2 linked regions of the Macaca mulatta genome follow. The protein of the gene in region 2 purifies or fractionates together with the protein of the main gene of each other region. This does not show direct contact. Links are inferred from orthologs where the notes say so. Each region holds a gene or a part of one and is shown on either strand. Other genes may lie near its edges.

Region 1 (8,228 bases), on a different chromosome or scaffold from region 2:
ATTTCTGTTGTTTAAGCCACCCAGTCTGTGACTTTTGTAATGGCAGCCCTAGTAAACTAGTAATATGCCAACCAAAACTCGTAAGTCTTACCCACCATTTCGCATCTTATAAAGTTGCACGTTTTTCTGAATATATTCTGCAAACTGTACAGTGTCTCCAGCCTCTCCCACACACAGCAGTAATATCTTTTCACTCATCTTAAACATCTTGTCATGATCTGCTCAAAAAAAAAAAAAAAACTGTTAGAAACTGCCTTAACAGAAATTGACAGTCATTATTTATGCAACCATAAACAGGTTTATTAATTACTACAGTTGGCCTTCCATATCCGTGGATTCTGAATCCACAATTCAACCACCTATGGATCAAAAGTATTCAGAAAAAAAAAAAAAATAGATGCTTGCATCTATCCTGAACATGTACTGACTTTTTTTCTGGTCATTATTCCTTAAACAATACAGTATAACAACTATTTACATAGCATTTATGTCATATTAAGTATTATAAATAATCTAGAGATGATTTGAAGTACACAGGAGTATCTGCATAGGTAATATGCAAATACTATACCATGTATATAAGGAACTTTAAGCTTCTACAGATTTGGGTATCTGCAGGGGTTCTGGAAACAATCCCTACAGATACCAAGGGACGACTGTATATTGAATAATTTCACTAATCATTGCTTTTAGAAGATTTTAATAGGTAATGGTATCAATTTATCTCTTTCATTCTTCATGTTAAACCATCAGCATATTGTGTAGTGTCAATTTCAGTTGAAGAATATACATGAAAGCTACCAATTAAAAATACAAGTTAAAGCATTGAAAAGCATTTGAAATGCAAGGAACAGAACAGAAAAAACTGAAGGAATCCAGCCAATGGCGATTATCTTTAGGCTCATGATAACAAAGCCCTAAAATGTTTCCACAACTACAAATGTTAGTTATTATATTTATACACACACAAAAGTATATATGAAAGGGACTGATGCTACAATTAAAATTAAGGAACCATCTCAAGAAAGAATAGAAAATCAACTGAGAATATTAATCACTTTAAAAAGTAAACAAATTCCATTGCCAAAGAAAAAGAGAAAATTAAAACGATTGCCAAAGCAAAAATTCTAGTGAATATTTTGACAGTAAGCTACTTAAAATACCTCACAAAAATCCTAATACTCTAATCTTATCTAGCTGAACCAGACTCATTCAGATTAGATAGATAAATATTCAGGTTACAGTTATTGCCTAAGGTAGAAAACTCCACATTCAGTCTGCAGCTTCAGAAAAGGCCTAAATCTTCCTATCTCACTCTCACTTTCACTTTTCATTTTTCAAATAGTGCTGAATAATCTTCCCTGGGAGACATGTTTCCTGTTTGAAAGCTTCTGAAATGTCAAAATCCTTTAATAGGATTTAAAGAACAAAATGCTACTGTCAAATACTTTACAAGTGTTTCAGAGTTGTAGATACCAGTAATATGGCTTCTTAGACTTGGAGGGAAAAAACACACAAAATGCACCTGTAGATAGCACCAAATTGCCTCAAAACTCCTGAACAAACACACTTTTATTTGTTGTACAGGTTACATTAAAGACTGTTAGTTTGCAATATTAGTAAGAGAAAAACGTTCGCTTATATTATCTATGCAAAAAAAAAGGAGCAGAAGGGTATATGCTAAGTGCTTGCCAGTGGTAAGAGTATGGGCAGTTTTTGTTCCCTTCTTTTTGCTTATCGGTATTTCCTAAAACTTCTATACTTAATATGCCTCACTTTTATAAGAAAACATTATTCAATAAGTTGGCAATATCATTAAAATAAGAAAAAAGCTATTTTTATTTGAGGGGGGAGCTTGTTCACAAAGAACTTATGTCACACTTAGAAGAAAGGCTAAAAATCTAGGCAGTAACCTGTTCCATTTTAAAATTAGCTTAATACAAGGCCAAAAATGTTTTTTAAACACTATGACCAATGAGTCGCAGAAGGCAACATATTTAATAAAAACACAAGAGATAGATACTAAGAGACCCCTGAGTTGTACAGGAAACTGCCTGTGTAGCTCTGGGGAATTTCTGATTCTTGACAAGGAACTTACAAGATCCACATACATGAAACAAATGGACAACAAAATGAACAACATTAGCATGTCATACTGTGGAAAACCAACTGGACTAGAATCCAAGAGACCTTGGTTATGACGTGGACTTGGCACTCTGAACTTCAGCAAATTACTTGTCCTCTCTAAGCCCCAGTTTCCAGATGTGCGAAATGTTAATAACATCACTTACCCCTGTCTAACTCACAAGTGAGAAAAATTAATGAATTCTATACATGTCCAATATTATGATACTCAGTGTTAGATAATGTAGCTCAGATCATACATGCTATAGGAATTCAGAAAAGAGAGAATTCTGTGTGGGCTGGAGTACTTCGAGTAACTTAAAAGCAATTCTACATAGGCCAAGAGAAGAGACATGAAATGCAGCACATAAGCAAACCACAAGTTGTTACCGCTTAATAAGGTGGCAGTCCTCAGCAAATGTCTACTCTATAGTATCAAAATGTTTATACAAAGTGATATACTGGACAATTGATTAGAAGTTGTATTATCATTTAAACTTGGAGAAAGGAGTCCCAGAAGGTTATTATTTTGCAGCATTCTTGCCTACTCTAAACAAGCTCCATCATTAAATGAATGATTAGAAAAAAGTCATCATACGGCCGGGCACAGTGGCTCATGCCTGTAATCTCAGCACTTTGGGAAGTCAAGGCAGGTGGATCACCTGAGGTCAGGAGTTTGAGACCAGCCTGGCTAACCCGGTGAAACCCCGTCTCTACTAAAAAAGACAAAAAAATTAGCCGAGTGTGGTGGCGGGTGCCTGTAGTCCCAGCTGCTGGGGAAGCTGAGGCAGGAGAATAGCTTGAACCCAGGAGGCTGAGGTCACAGTGAGCCAAGATCACGCCATTGCACTCCAGCCTGGGTGACAGAGCGAGCTTCCATCTCAAAAATAAATAAAGTCATCATACAATACTAAAATTTATATTATAAATGTTTTTATACCAGGAAAGACCATAGGGAAAATCAGAATGTGTGGAGTGCAATGATTTCCAACTATTTTTCAAGAACTAACTCAAATTCGTCTTTCTCCCATACCATAGTGATCATTCTTTTATTACTTAGGATTTGCTCTTGAACTCATTAATTTAAAAACCAACCTAATACTAACTAGTAATACTTCTTTTACCACATAAAATCATCTTGCAGTATTTATTTCCTTGTTTTCTTAATGTCTTGGACTCTTCTATGGGTTATAAGTAATATACTGCATCCCCTATAATGACTAAAAGTACTGTGTACATAAGTAGGCTTAAAGCACGTTCTTCTTTTCAATGTGATTTCACATACATTTTTGGGATGAAACAAAAGACCTGTAAAGGTAATGATTATTGTTCTACCTAGACATGACTTAATGCTAAAATCACTTGCTTGTCAAAGACCTCAGAATTCAAAATAATGGACAAATTTACTCTCAAAACAAATTCACTCCTTTGGGAGGACTAGCTTACAAACAAAACTTCTACAAACTAATCATAGAATTTCATAAAGTATCAGGTGCTGTGTTAAGCGATTTCCATCAATTCATTAACCTTTTAAGATAGGTGCTATTACATCACCACCTTATAGATGCTAGCTTTAGGGCACGGAGTTGGAGAAACTTACTTCAGGTCACATGAGGCAGAACCTGGGTTCAACCTATGCAGTGAGTCCAGATATTTTGCCCCTAACTACTGTACTATACCGTCTCTCTACAGTAAATTACTCAATACATAATTTTAAGAAGATTTTGGTTGTTTTTCCTGCAGAATCTAAGTTTGTTTTCCTTAATTGATCAAAGACGTGCTACTGTTGAAAAAGTATTAAGCTCTGGTTCAGATGACTTAATGTTCATTTGACAAATGTTTGGGCACCTGTGTATGCTTAGTATTAAGTACCTGTCTAGTGCGAAGGATTTGCGCATAACTCATTTACTCAATCCTCCCGACAAGTCTGTGAGTTTGGTATTGCTAATCTTAAAGATGAGGAAATCTGGGCACTGCGAAATAACTTAATCAAAGTCATAAGGCAAATAAATGACAGGGCTCCAATCTCCTAACTCCATTAACTACTTAAATATAAGGAAAACCTGGCAGCCATTGTCCTGGAAAGCTGAAAAAGAAGAATCGGGAGCCACCGGGAGATACGGGCAGCGGAAAGAAAATGACAAGCTTCTGGTATCACAGTCTGACTGTCCCCAGGATCCCACCTTATGTCGCCAACAAACCTCATTACTAGCGACAACAGGAAACTTTTATAAGAGATTCGGGGATCTAGAGAGCCAGGTTCTGGGCAGGCGCTTAAACATTTATAAACAGATTCCCTTTAGGCAACTCTCACCAAGCAAGAAGCATTTAGCGAAGGCCAGAGCAGAGCACTGACCTAGGAGCCCGGGAGGAGCAAATGCCAAGGCCCCAGACTTGTCTGCCTGTTGCTTCCGTTATTTTAAAAAAAAAAAAAAAAAAAAAAAAAAAAAGGCCGAGCACAGCGGCTCACGCCTGTTATCCCAGCACTTTGGGAGGCCGAGACGGCGGGATCACCTGAGGTCGGGAGTTCGAGAGCAGCCTGACCAATACAGAGAAACCCCCCCCATCTCTACTAATAATACAAAAATTAGCCGGGTGTGGTGGCGCATGCCTATAATACCAGCTACTCGGGAGGCTGCGGCACGAGAATCGCTTGAACCCGGGAGACTGAGGTTGTGGTGAGCCGAGATAGTGCCATTGCACTAGAGCCTGGGCAGTAAGAGCGAAACTCCATCTCGAAAAAAATAAAGTAATTAATTAAGTAAGTATGGGCAGGGCAGGCCGGCTTCCACCTCTTCGATCCTCCCTGGCACACATTCAACCCCCGACAAACTCCCTCTGGTCGCCCCGACACCCCAGGCCTGGCCGGGCCTCCCCTGCTTCCTCTCACCGTCCTTCATCTGGACAATATTGCTGGCGGCCACCCGGTCGGAGGCGACAAGGACATAGTCGGGGCCTTGGATACCGATTAGGTACTCCATGGTGGCGGGAGGCCAGGGGCTGCAGGTCCGACAAAGCGCGAGACTCGCCGGCTTCCAGGTCTCACCGGTGAGACAGCACCTACTAGCGAAGATTGGCGCGACGCCGGCTGCGCGACTTCCACGGCGCTCTCGAATGACGTACAACTGTCGCGAGAGGTTGGAAAGCGGGCGCGGTGCCGGGTTCCTTGAGCTCGGCGCTTGTCTCCTCCGACGCCGACTGTGCAGGTCACTTACGTTATGTGACGCCCAGTTTCTCTGTCTACGCACTGGGATTTTAAAACTCGCTTTAGGATAAAATCACGCAGTGTATGTAAGGTGCCGAGCACGTGTGGGTGTCAAAAAGGGGTAGGTCGCCAGGCAGCCGTTTCCCTACGTTGCTCAGTAAAATCTCCCCAGAAACCCCTTTCCTGCAAGCCAGATTGGAGAAAAATTAACTTGAGGGGAGACTTACCTCCATCCTTCACAAAAATAATATATGGTTGGATTAAAGATGTAAGAATCGGCTGGGCGCAGTGGCTCACGCCTGTAATCCCAGCACTTTGGGGAGCCAAGGCGGGCGGATCACCTGAGCTCGGGAGTTCGAGACCAGCCTGACCAACATGGAGAAACCTCCGTCTCTACTAAAAATACAAAATTAGCGGGGCGTGGTGGCGGGCGCCTGTAATCCCAGCTACTCTGGAGGCTGAGGCAGGAGAATCACTTGAACCCGGGAGGCAGAGGTTGCCGTGAGCCGAGATCGTGCCATTGCACTCCAGCCTGGGCAACAAAAGCAAAACTCCGTCTCAAAAAAAGAAAAAAAAAAAGATATAAACATGGAAGAAAAAGTAAAAAATTTTTTTGTAATTTTTGGAAGAGATGTGTTTCTAAGTGTGACAGGGAACCCAGAAGCAGTATAAGAAAAGACGTGACAGATTTGACTACATAAGATTACAAGTCTCTATGTGGTGAAAGTCATTCTCATGCTCCACAATAAATGTAAGTTGAGGATGTTTCAATTGTAGAAATAGTTACTATTTTGGACCTTATAGACAGAAAAAAGGAAAAAGTTAATATCTATAACTTAGAAGATATTCCTACAAACCAATGGGAGGGGGGCGGGGGGAGCAATATCATTTTTAAAAGACCCGGCAGGCCGCGGGGGTTCACGCCTGTAGTCCCAGCACTTTGGGAGGCCGAGGCGGGCAGATCAAGAGGTCGGGAGTTCGAGACCAGCCTGGCCAATATGGTGAAACCCCATCTCTACTAAAAATACAAAAAATTAGCTGGGTGTGGTGGCAGGCGCCTGTACTACTCGGGAGGCTGAGGCAGGAGAATTGCTTGAACCCAGGAGGCGGAGGTTGCAGTAAGCCAAGATTGCGGCACTGCACTCCAGCCTGGGCAACAGAGAGAGACTCTGTCTCAAAAAACAAGACCAAAGACTTAAGAAAAACAATTCACAAAAGAAGCAACACGAATGGCCAATAAATATGAAAATATCCTCAACCTAGATGGTAATTAGGAAAATGTGAAATAAGAAACAATGAGAAAGTATAAATTAGGGGTAAGGTTCTAAGTTGTACAACCTTTTTATAGAGAACAATTTTAATATCTGTTAAAATTAAGTGTGCATAACCTTTTGAATATGTCCAGAAGACATGTTTGTACACACTGTCCTAATATTTGTGTACAGAGATATTCAGTGTTGCCGGGCACAGTGGCTCACGCCTGTAATCCTAGCACTTTGGGAGGCCAAGGCAGGCGGATCACAAGGTCAGGAGTTCAAGACCAGCCTGGCTGACATGGTGAAACCCCGTCTCTACTAAAAATACAAAAATTAGTTGGGCGTGGTGGTATGCGCCTGTAATCCCAGCTACTGGGGAGACTGAGGCAGGAGAATCACTTGAACCCAGGAGGCAGAGGTTGCAGTGAACCAAGATCACACCATTACACTCCAGCCTGGGCAACAGAGCAAGACTCCGTCTCAAAAAAAAAAAAAAAAAAAGGATAGTTAGTGTTGCAGCACTACAACACAAACAACACAAAAGAGGACCAACTTACATGTCTAAAAGTGGAGACGTTGGGCTGGGTGTGGTGGCTCATGCCTGTAATCCCACCACTTTGGGAGGCCGAGGTGGGTGGATCACCTGAGACCAACCTGACCAACATGGTGAAACCCGGTCTCTACTAAACACAAAAAATTAGCTGGGCGTGAAGGAGGCACCTGTACTCAGGAGGCTGAGGCAAGAGAATCGCTTGAACCCAGGAGGCAGAGGTTACAGTGAGCTGAGATCACGCCACTGCACTCCAGCCTGGGCAACAAGGGCAAAACTCTGTCTCAAAAAAAAAAAAAAATTGGACAGTCACAGTGGAATATTGTTCACCCATAAAAAGAATGAGACAAATCTAAATATACCTATATATTCCATGGCCCAAGATAAATTAAGTGAAAATAAAAATGCTTTTTTATCTGTAGCCTGATGCCATTTTGTTTAATGATGAATATTTGAAAATGAATGGAAATACCTGTAAATACTTATTTACAGGTATTCTAGTGTCAAATTATATGCAGTTATTACCCTGGTGAGTGTAATTTGAAGGGAGAACTTTCACTTTTTATTTTATACACATGAGTATTGTTTGAATTTTTACAATGCTCATGTATTATTTGTATTTTTTCTAATAAAAAAAAAAAAGCCAGCCATTCCTTTATATCTTGAAGCAATTCTGAAAAAAAAGGTGAAATATTTCTTGATTGGGTTTCTGACATCTACAACTGAGTCTTCATATTAGCTTATTGAGAAATGGGAAAAGAGTTGCAATTGTATCTCCAAACACAACTATGCAATTCGTTTGCCTCTGCAGAAATTGTAATACTTACTTTATTCTGAATGATTCTTCCAGCTCCCTGCTCATAAAGGAACACAGAGCCTGAGGAGTTTGAGGCAGCCTATTAATCATGGGATGAATGCCAGGGGCAAGTGAGGTCATTAAGTCAACCATCCACTATGAACACAGCTGCATCCATCATTCTAGAAAGATTCTTTTCTTAAATACCACTTGGAGGGGGTAGGTCTCTCTCTCTCTCATTGTGTATGTTTGTGTGTTTTTTTAATTGCAAAAAGTACGTAGTTATACTATATATAC
Region 2 (7,692 bases):
GAGGCACGAGAATCGCTTGAACCCGGGAGGCAGAGGTTGCAGTGAGCTGAGATCACGTCACTGTACTCCAGCCTAGGTGACAGAGCAAGACTCTGTTTCAAAAATAATAATAATCTGTGCCAAAGTAATTTCTTATGTGTTCACTGAAGTTTTTCTACTTAAAGAGACAAATAATAGATTTTTAAAAACTCATTTATAGAAAGTACCTAGTCCTATGTTTAACTTAAAATGAGATCTATCAGGCGTAGGGCTGTTTTGACCTTTTTCTTTTTCTGTTTTTTTTTTTTTATTTCAGCTAATTGTAGAGATTTCTTCTGTGTCACCAGAATCTTTAAACTACTGTACCACAAGTGGATTGGTAACGCAGCTCCTGAGAGAGCTGACTGGTGAGGATGTGTTGGTCAGGTGTGTTGACTGAGAGTTCTTAAAGTGAAATGTCCTCTTTTGAAGGGCTGGGAAACAACCCTGGGACGTCTGTGATTTTCTCTATTAGAGACTTTGCCCAGGTCACAATCTCATGACTGATGTGTGTCCTGAAGGAGGGACCTTTAGAAAATTGCTCAAGTTACATCATGACAACATACTGGAACTTGGCAAAGCCCCACATGACAATTCAGCTACTTTCAAGTGACTGTGTTCCCTGTCCCTAGTCCTGTGTGCTCTTAAACAGTTGCAATCACATGGTAACTGCCATTTTGAATTACTAATAGTTTGTCATATGCATTTATTTTGGCATTGTTAAATAGCAACAGTATAGCATGATAGAAAAAATACGGGCTAGGCCGGGTGTGGTGGCTTATGCCTATAATCCCAGCACGTTGGGAGGCCGAGGCGGGCGAATCACGAGATCAGGAGTTCAAGACCAGCCTGGCCAACGTTGTGAAACCCTGTCCCTACTAAAAACACAAAAATTAACCGGGCATGGTGGCATGCACCTGTAGTCCCAGCTACTCGGGAGGCTGAGGCAGGAGAATTGCTTGAACCTGGGAGGTAGAGGTTGTACCACTATACTCCAGCCTGGGCAACAGAGCAAGACTCTGTCTCAAAAGAAAAAAGAATATGGGCTTTTCAAAATGAGGAAGAGTTGGCTTGCATACCTCTCTACTATTTATTAGCTGTTAGGCCTTGGACAGGTTATTATAAGCTTTCTACATCCCAGTTTCCTCATCTCTCAGAACAGTAACTGAAAAAGATATTGTGCCGGGCACAGTGGCTTACGCCTGTAATCCCAGCACTTCGGGAAGCTGAGGCGGGTGGATTACCTGAGGTCAGGAGTTCAGGACCAGCCTGGCCAATATGGTGAAACCCCGTCTCTACTAAAAAAAATACAAAAAATTAGCCGGGCGTGGTGGCAGGGGCCCGTAATCCCAGCTACCGGGAAGGCTGAGACAAGAGAATTGCTTAAACCCGGGAGGTGGAGGTTGCAGTGAGCCAAGATCGCGCCATTGCACTCCAGCCTGGGCAACAAGAGCAAAACTCCATCTCAAAAAAATAAATAAATAAAAAGATATTGTAAGAATTAAGCTAATTGACCTTAGAAAGCAGTACAATGGCTGACATAGGTTCTCAAAGAAATGTTTTTTTTTTTTTTTTTTTTTTGAGACGGAGTCTCGCTCTGTAGCCCAGGCTGGAGTGCAGTGGCCGGATCTCAGCTCACTGCAAGCTCCGCCTCCCGGGTTCACGCCATTCTCCAGCCTCAGCCTCCCGAGTAGCTGGGACTACAGGCGCTGCCACCTCGCCCGGCTATTTTTTGTATTTCTTAGTAGAGACGGGGTTTCACCGTGTTAGCCAGGATGGTCTCGATCTCCTGACCTCGTGATCTGCCCATCTCGGCCTCCCAAAGTGCTGGGATTACAGGCTTGAGCCACCGCGCCCGGCCAGAAATGTTAATTCCAGTCTCTTCCACCCTTTATTCCCCCATTCCCTAAATCCCCTTTAATATCTGCCAAATGTTCCTTTGTTGATATTCCACAGCTTATTAATACCTCCTCACTGTTGAACAGTTGATTTGCTTCAAGTATTTTGCTGTTATGATAGCATTATAGTTATCTTTGTGTATATAGGTTTTGATTTTTCTTATCTTAAATGATTTTCTGATTGTCCTGTGTTCTTTAAACATGGCTGAATTTATTAAACCCATATAGTAAATCAGTCACTAGTTACATTGCTTCAGTGCATTTGAGTGTCTCAACCTAATGAGACAATTAATTTTGTTAATTATTTTTTAGCATTGTATCAAATTTTGTGACATAGGAAAAAACCCTATAAATGGTCAGTCAAAACACTTTAGGATCAATTACCAACTGTAAAAATAAATTTTTTAGTTATTTTCTTTGATCAGGGTTGGATATGAGATGATACCAAAGAATTATTGTTAATTTCTTAATATGTGGCAGTGGCATTATAATTGTGTGAGGAAACATACGTGTTTTGCAGAGATGCATACTAAAGTACGCAGGGGTAAATGGCACGGTGACTAGGATTTGCTTTAAAATAGTTCAGCAAAAAGTAGGGAAAAGAGATGAAATAAGTAAAGCAAAATCCTCATAACCATAAAATCAGGTTATGGGTATATGGGGGCTTATTGTATTCTCATTACTTTTGTGTATGTTTGATACTTCAAAATAAAACAAAATTTAAAAAAATATTTTAGGAAGCAGCTAGGTTATAGTGGAAACAATAGTGGACTTCAAATCAGAAGGTCTAGATTTAAATATAAACTCTGTCTGTAATAACAATGTGATTACAGATAAGTCACTGCAACTTTCTAGGCCTTAGGGCCTCATGTGAAAAGAGGAGCCAAGATTAAGGCCGGGCGCGGTGGCTCAAGCCTGTAATCCCAGCACTTTGGGAGGCCGAGACGGGCAGATCACGAAGTCAGGAGATCAAGACCATCCTGGCTAACACAGTGAAACCCCGTCTCTACTAAAAAATACAAAAATCTAGCCGGGCGAGGTAGCGGGCGCCTGTAGTCCCAGCTACTCGGGAGTCTGAGGCAGGAGAATGGCGTGAACCTGGGAGGCGGAGCTTGCAGTGAGCTGAGATCCGGCCACTGCACTCCAGCCTGGGCCACAGAGCGAGACTCCGCCAAAAAAAAAAAAAAAAAAAAGAAAAGAGGAGCCAAGATTATTGACCTTTCAAATATGATGGGAAGAATTAAATAAGATAACCTATATGAGAGCAATCTATAAACTATGCAAATCCTGTGCAAAAATCTTGTTTTTGTCCTTCTGACATTTTAGAGCCACCTGTATAGAAATGGTGACATCACTGGCATATACTCATCATGGACGACAGTATCTTGCTCAAGAAGGAGTAATTGACCAAATTTCTAATATAATCGTTGGGGCAGATTCAGACCCTTTCTCTAGCTTCTATTTGCCAGGTAAGAAACACTGATGCCTATGGAAATGATGGTGCATGTTTTATTTCTGAGTTATCTCTGACGGCAGGGGGTTGGGGTTGGGAGTGGACAGGGATTGTTTCCCTTAGAGCTGATTTCGTTTAGAAGATATCTAGAGCTACCAAATTCAAATTCAACAGCACATTAAAAAGATCATCCACCCTGATCAAGTGGGATTTATCCTAGGGATGCAGGGAGGGTTCAGCATACACAAATCAATAAATAAGATATACTACATTGACAGAATAAAGATGGAAACCAAGTAATGCGGGGAAAAGCGTTTGACAAATTTTAGCTTTCTTTTATAATAAAAACTCTTAACAAATTAAGTATAGAAGAAATCTATCTCAACACAATAAAGGCCAAGTATGACAAACCCACAGCTAACATACTCAGTGAAAAGTTGAAAGCGTTCCTCTAAGATCAGGAACAAGGCCGGGCGTGGTGGCTCACACCTGTAATCCCAGCACTCTGGGAGGCCAAGGCAGGTGGATCACAAGGTCAGGAGATCGAGACCATCCTGGCTAACACAGTGAAACCCCGTCTCTACTAAAAATACAAAAAAATTAGCTGGGCATGGTGGCACACGCCTGTAGTCCCAGCTACTCAGGAGGCTGAGGCAGGAGAATCCCTTGAACATTGGAGGTAGAGATTGCAGTGAGCCAAGATCGCTCTACTGCATTCCAGCCTGGGCGACAAAGTGAGACTCCATCTCAAAAAAAAAAAAAAAAAAAGGAACAAGACAAGGATGTCCACAATTACCACTTCTATTCAACAAATTACAAGAAGTTATAGCCAGAGCAATTAGGCAAGATAAAAAAAACAAAAGGCATCCAAATCAGAAAGAAAGAAGTGAAAATGTCCCTATTTGTAAATGATGTAGTGTTATATTAATATATAGAATAAAGATTCCACCAAAAAACTGTTAGAATGAATAAATAAATTCAGTAAAACTGCAGGATACAAAATCGGTGCATAAAAATCAGTAGCATTTCTATACACTAACAGTGAACTCTGAAAAAGTAATAAAAGATACATTCCCATTTACAATAGCATTCAAAAAAATTAACTATTTATGAATAAATTTAAGGAGGTGAAAGATCTATACGGTGAGAACTATAAAAACTGATGAAGGAAATTGAAGAAGACACAAATAAATGGAAAGGTATCCTATGTTCATGGATTGGAAGAATTAATATTATTAAAATGTTGGTGCTGCCAAAGCACCATATAGATTCAGTGCATTCCCCACCAAAATTCTTAAATTTAATGACATTTTTCACGAAAGCAGAAAAAAAATTAAAAATACGCGTATTTCAGAATACATTGTTCACAATAAAGATATATGATTTTTTAATTTGTCAGTTAAAAGTTAATTTTATTAAAAAGATACCTGTAGCCTCTTACTGAGGTGGAATCTGTTGCTCTGGGAGCTATGTACTGTTGACTTTGATTTTCAGGAAACATCAGTGCTATTTAGAATATTAGGAAATTTTTCTTTTGAATATCAACAAAAAAATAAAAATACTAGTAATGACATTTACAGTATGTTTCACAGATTAATCAAGTCTCTGAGTGGGAATCTTTATTGTAGGATCTACTCTTGCCATTCTATTCTGGGTCTTGGTTAATTAGTCTTTCTTGAACACTTCCAGAAATTGGAGATGTATGCCTTCCTTAGGTAGCCTAGCTACCTAGCTACCTATTTCATTTATTAATGAACATATCCACTTAAAAATTTCTTCCTGGTAATGAGTCTAAACTTGCCTTCCTATAATTTGTATCCACTGGTCCTTTTTCTTTGTTCTCCCTCTTGCATATGCCAGTACTTCAATAGCTGGTCCCAGCTCCATTGACACCCTCTCTCAGGATCACACATCACAGGTCCTTCAGAATCTCCTAATGGTCTCTCTGATCTCCAAGCAACACACTACTGTAACCTTTCTACGCTTTCTGGCCTGCAGTTCATTTCTATTCCTGTGAAGTTATAGGGCCCACAATTCATGCTGTCTTGTTCCCCTATTAAAATATATTCTTGTAAATCTCTTTAGGATTCGTGAAGTTTTTTGGAAACCTGGCTGTCATGGATAGTCCTCAACAGATCTGTGAGCGTTATCCTATCTTTGTGGAAAAAGTCTTTGAAATGACAGAAAGTCAGGACCCCACTATGACTGGTGTAGCTGTAGACACAGTTGGAATCTTGGGATCCAATGTTGAAGGAAAACAGGTTTTACAGAAAACAGGTTGGTATGACTTGGCCCTGTTCAGGGATATCTTAATTTTTGACAGGGGTTCAATGTGTAAGTTCATTTACTGGTGGGTTAACTACATTGTAGAAACTATTTTATGGGTGGCAGTCTTGTTAACCATAACCTTGGACTCATATCTGAAAGTCTAATAATTACTATGGAAAACCTTTTTTTTTTTTTTTTTGACTTTTCACTGTTTAGGTTTCTACCAATCTATTTCAACCAAACATTGTTTCCTGTTTCCCCTCTGTGTCTTCTTTGACTAGATTTCATGGTACAGATGATGGGCTAGAATCAAAAAGGCCTGAATTCATGTCCTTGGGTTTTCTATTTCTTTCTTTCTTTTCTTTCTTTCAGATTGGGAGTGTCTCTCTGTTATACAGGCTGGCTTCAAACTCTCAGGCTCAAGCAATCCTCCTGCCTCATCCTCTTGATTGGCTGGGTCTGCAGGTCCACACCATTGTGTCCAGCCCTGACTTTGCTTTTTGAACTTCATTTACTCACTTTGCTTTTCTAGGCCTCATTTTCTTCATTTATAAAAATGGCATAACAACTACTTCTCAGGGTTGTTGGGAGTATTTACAAAATTTTGGGTTTTTTTGTAATGTCAAGAAAGGAAAATAAAAGTTTGTTATATGATTTCATGTTAAGAGATACTTTTGGCATGTTACGAGATACAGTAGCTCATGCCTGTAATCCAGCACTTTGGGAGGCCAAGGTGGGTGGATTGCCTAAGCTCAGGAGTTCAAGACCAGGCTGGGCAACATGGCAAAATCCTGTCTCTACTCAAGAATACAAAAATTAGTCAGGCATGGTACTGTGCAACTGTAGTCCCAGCTACTTGAGAGGCTGAGGCAGGAGAATTGCTTGAACCTGGCAGGTGGAGGTTGCAGTGAGCTGAGATCGTGCCACTACACTCCAGCCTGGGTGACAGAGTGAGATTCTATCTCAAAAAAAAAAAAAAAAAAAAAAGAGGCCAGGCAAGGTGGCTCATGCCTGTAATCCCAGCATTTTGGGAGGCCAGAGCAGGTGGATCACTTAAGGTCAGGAGTTCGAGACCAGCCTGGCCAACATGGTGAAACCCCATCTCTACTAAAAATACAAAAATCAGCTGAGCATGGTGGCGCATGCCTGCAGTCCCAGCTACTCGGGAGGCTGAGGCAGGAGAATGGCTTGAACCCAGAAGGCAAAGGTTGCAGTGAGCCAAGATCATACCACTGCACTCCAGCCTGGGTGACAGTGCGAGACTCTGTAAAAAGAAAAAAAAAAAAAAAAAAGATACTTTTATGGAACATCCATGAGAATCAACAGCACAACAAATTATACACACAAAATAATATGCAGCCCAATTACTAAAATTCTTGAGACACATATGTTGAAAATTATCTCACCTGTAATCCCAGCACTTTGGGAGGCCAAGAGGGGAGGATTGCTTGAGCCCAGGAATTCAAGACTAGCCTTGGCAACAACAACAAAAAAATTGGCCAGGTGTGGTGGCACATGCCTATAGTCCCAGCCACTCGGGAGACTGAGGTGGAAGACTCATTTGAGCCCAGGAGATGAAGGCTGCAGTGAGCCTTGATCACTCCATTGCACTGCAGCCTAGGTGACAGAGTAAGACTCCATCTCAAAAAAAATTTAAAAAGAGGCCGGGCAAGGTGGCTCATGCCTGTAATCCCAACACTTTGGGAGGCCAAGGCGGGTGGATCGCCTGAGGTCAAGAGTTTGAGACCAGCCTGGCCAACAGTCTCTACTAAAAATACAAAAATTAGCTGGGTGTGGTGGCAGGCACCTGTAATCCCAGCTACTCAGGAGGTTGAGGCAGGAGAATCGCTTGAACCTGGGCAGTGAGCCGAGATCGCGCCATTGCACTCCAGCCTGGGCGACACAGCGAGACTCCATCTCAAAAAACTAAAAATTAGAGAATAGAAAAAGAAAATACGGCCGGGCGCGGTGGCTCAAGCCTGTAATCCCAGCACTTTGGGAGGCCGAGACGGGTGGATCACGAGGTCAGGAGATCGAGACCATCCTGGTGAACAC

What was found. Proteins that work in one complex are often made in the same cells at the same time.
Region 1: the proteins of PSMD5 (region 2) and PSMB2 fractionate together in Homo sapiens (co-fractionation; 3 studies listed by BioGRID). This does not show direct contact. The link is inferred for Macaca mulatta from reciprocal best matches to the Homo sapiens genes PSMD5 and PSMB2.

What each region holds. Positions count from the first base shown.
Region 1 is NC_133406.1:205,188,407-205,196,634, reverse strand, and holds the start of PSMB2 (proteasome subunit beta type-2), read right to left. Parts: upstream 5,209-8,228; 5' UTR 5,106-5,208; coding exon 5,015-5,105; intron 219-5,014; coding exon 96-218; intron 1-95. UniProt on the Homo sapiens protein: Non-catalytic component of the 20S core proteasome complex involved in the proteolytic degradation of most intracellular proteins. This complex plays numerous essential roles within the cell by associating with different regulatory particles.
Region 2 is NC_133420.1:37,373,091-37,380,782, forward strand, and holds part of PSMD5 (26S proteasome non-ATPase regulatory subunit 5), read left to right. Parts: intron 1-295; coding exon 296-405; intron 406-3,242; coding exon 3,243-3,385; intron 3,386-5,454; coding exon 5,455-5,646; intron 5,647-7,692. UniProt on the Homo sapiens protein: Acts as a chaperone during the assembly of the 26S proteasome, specifically of the base subcomplex of the PA700/19S regulatory complex (RC).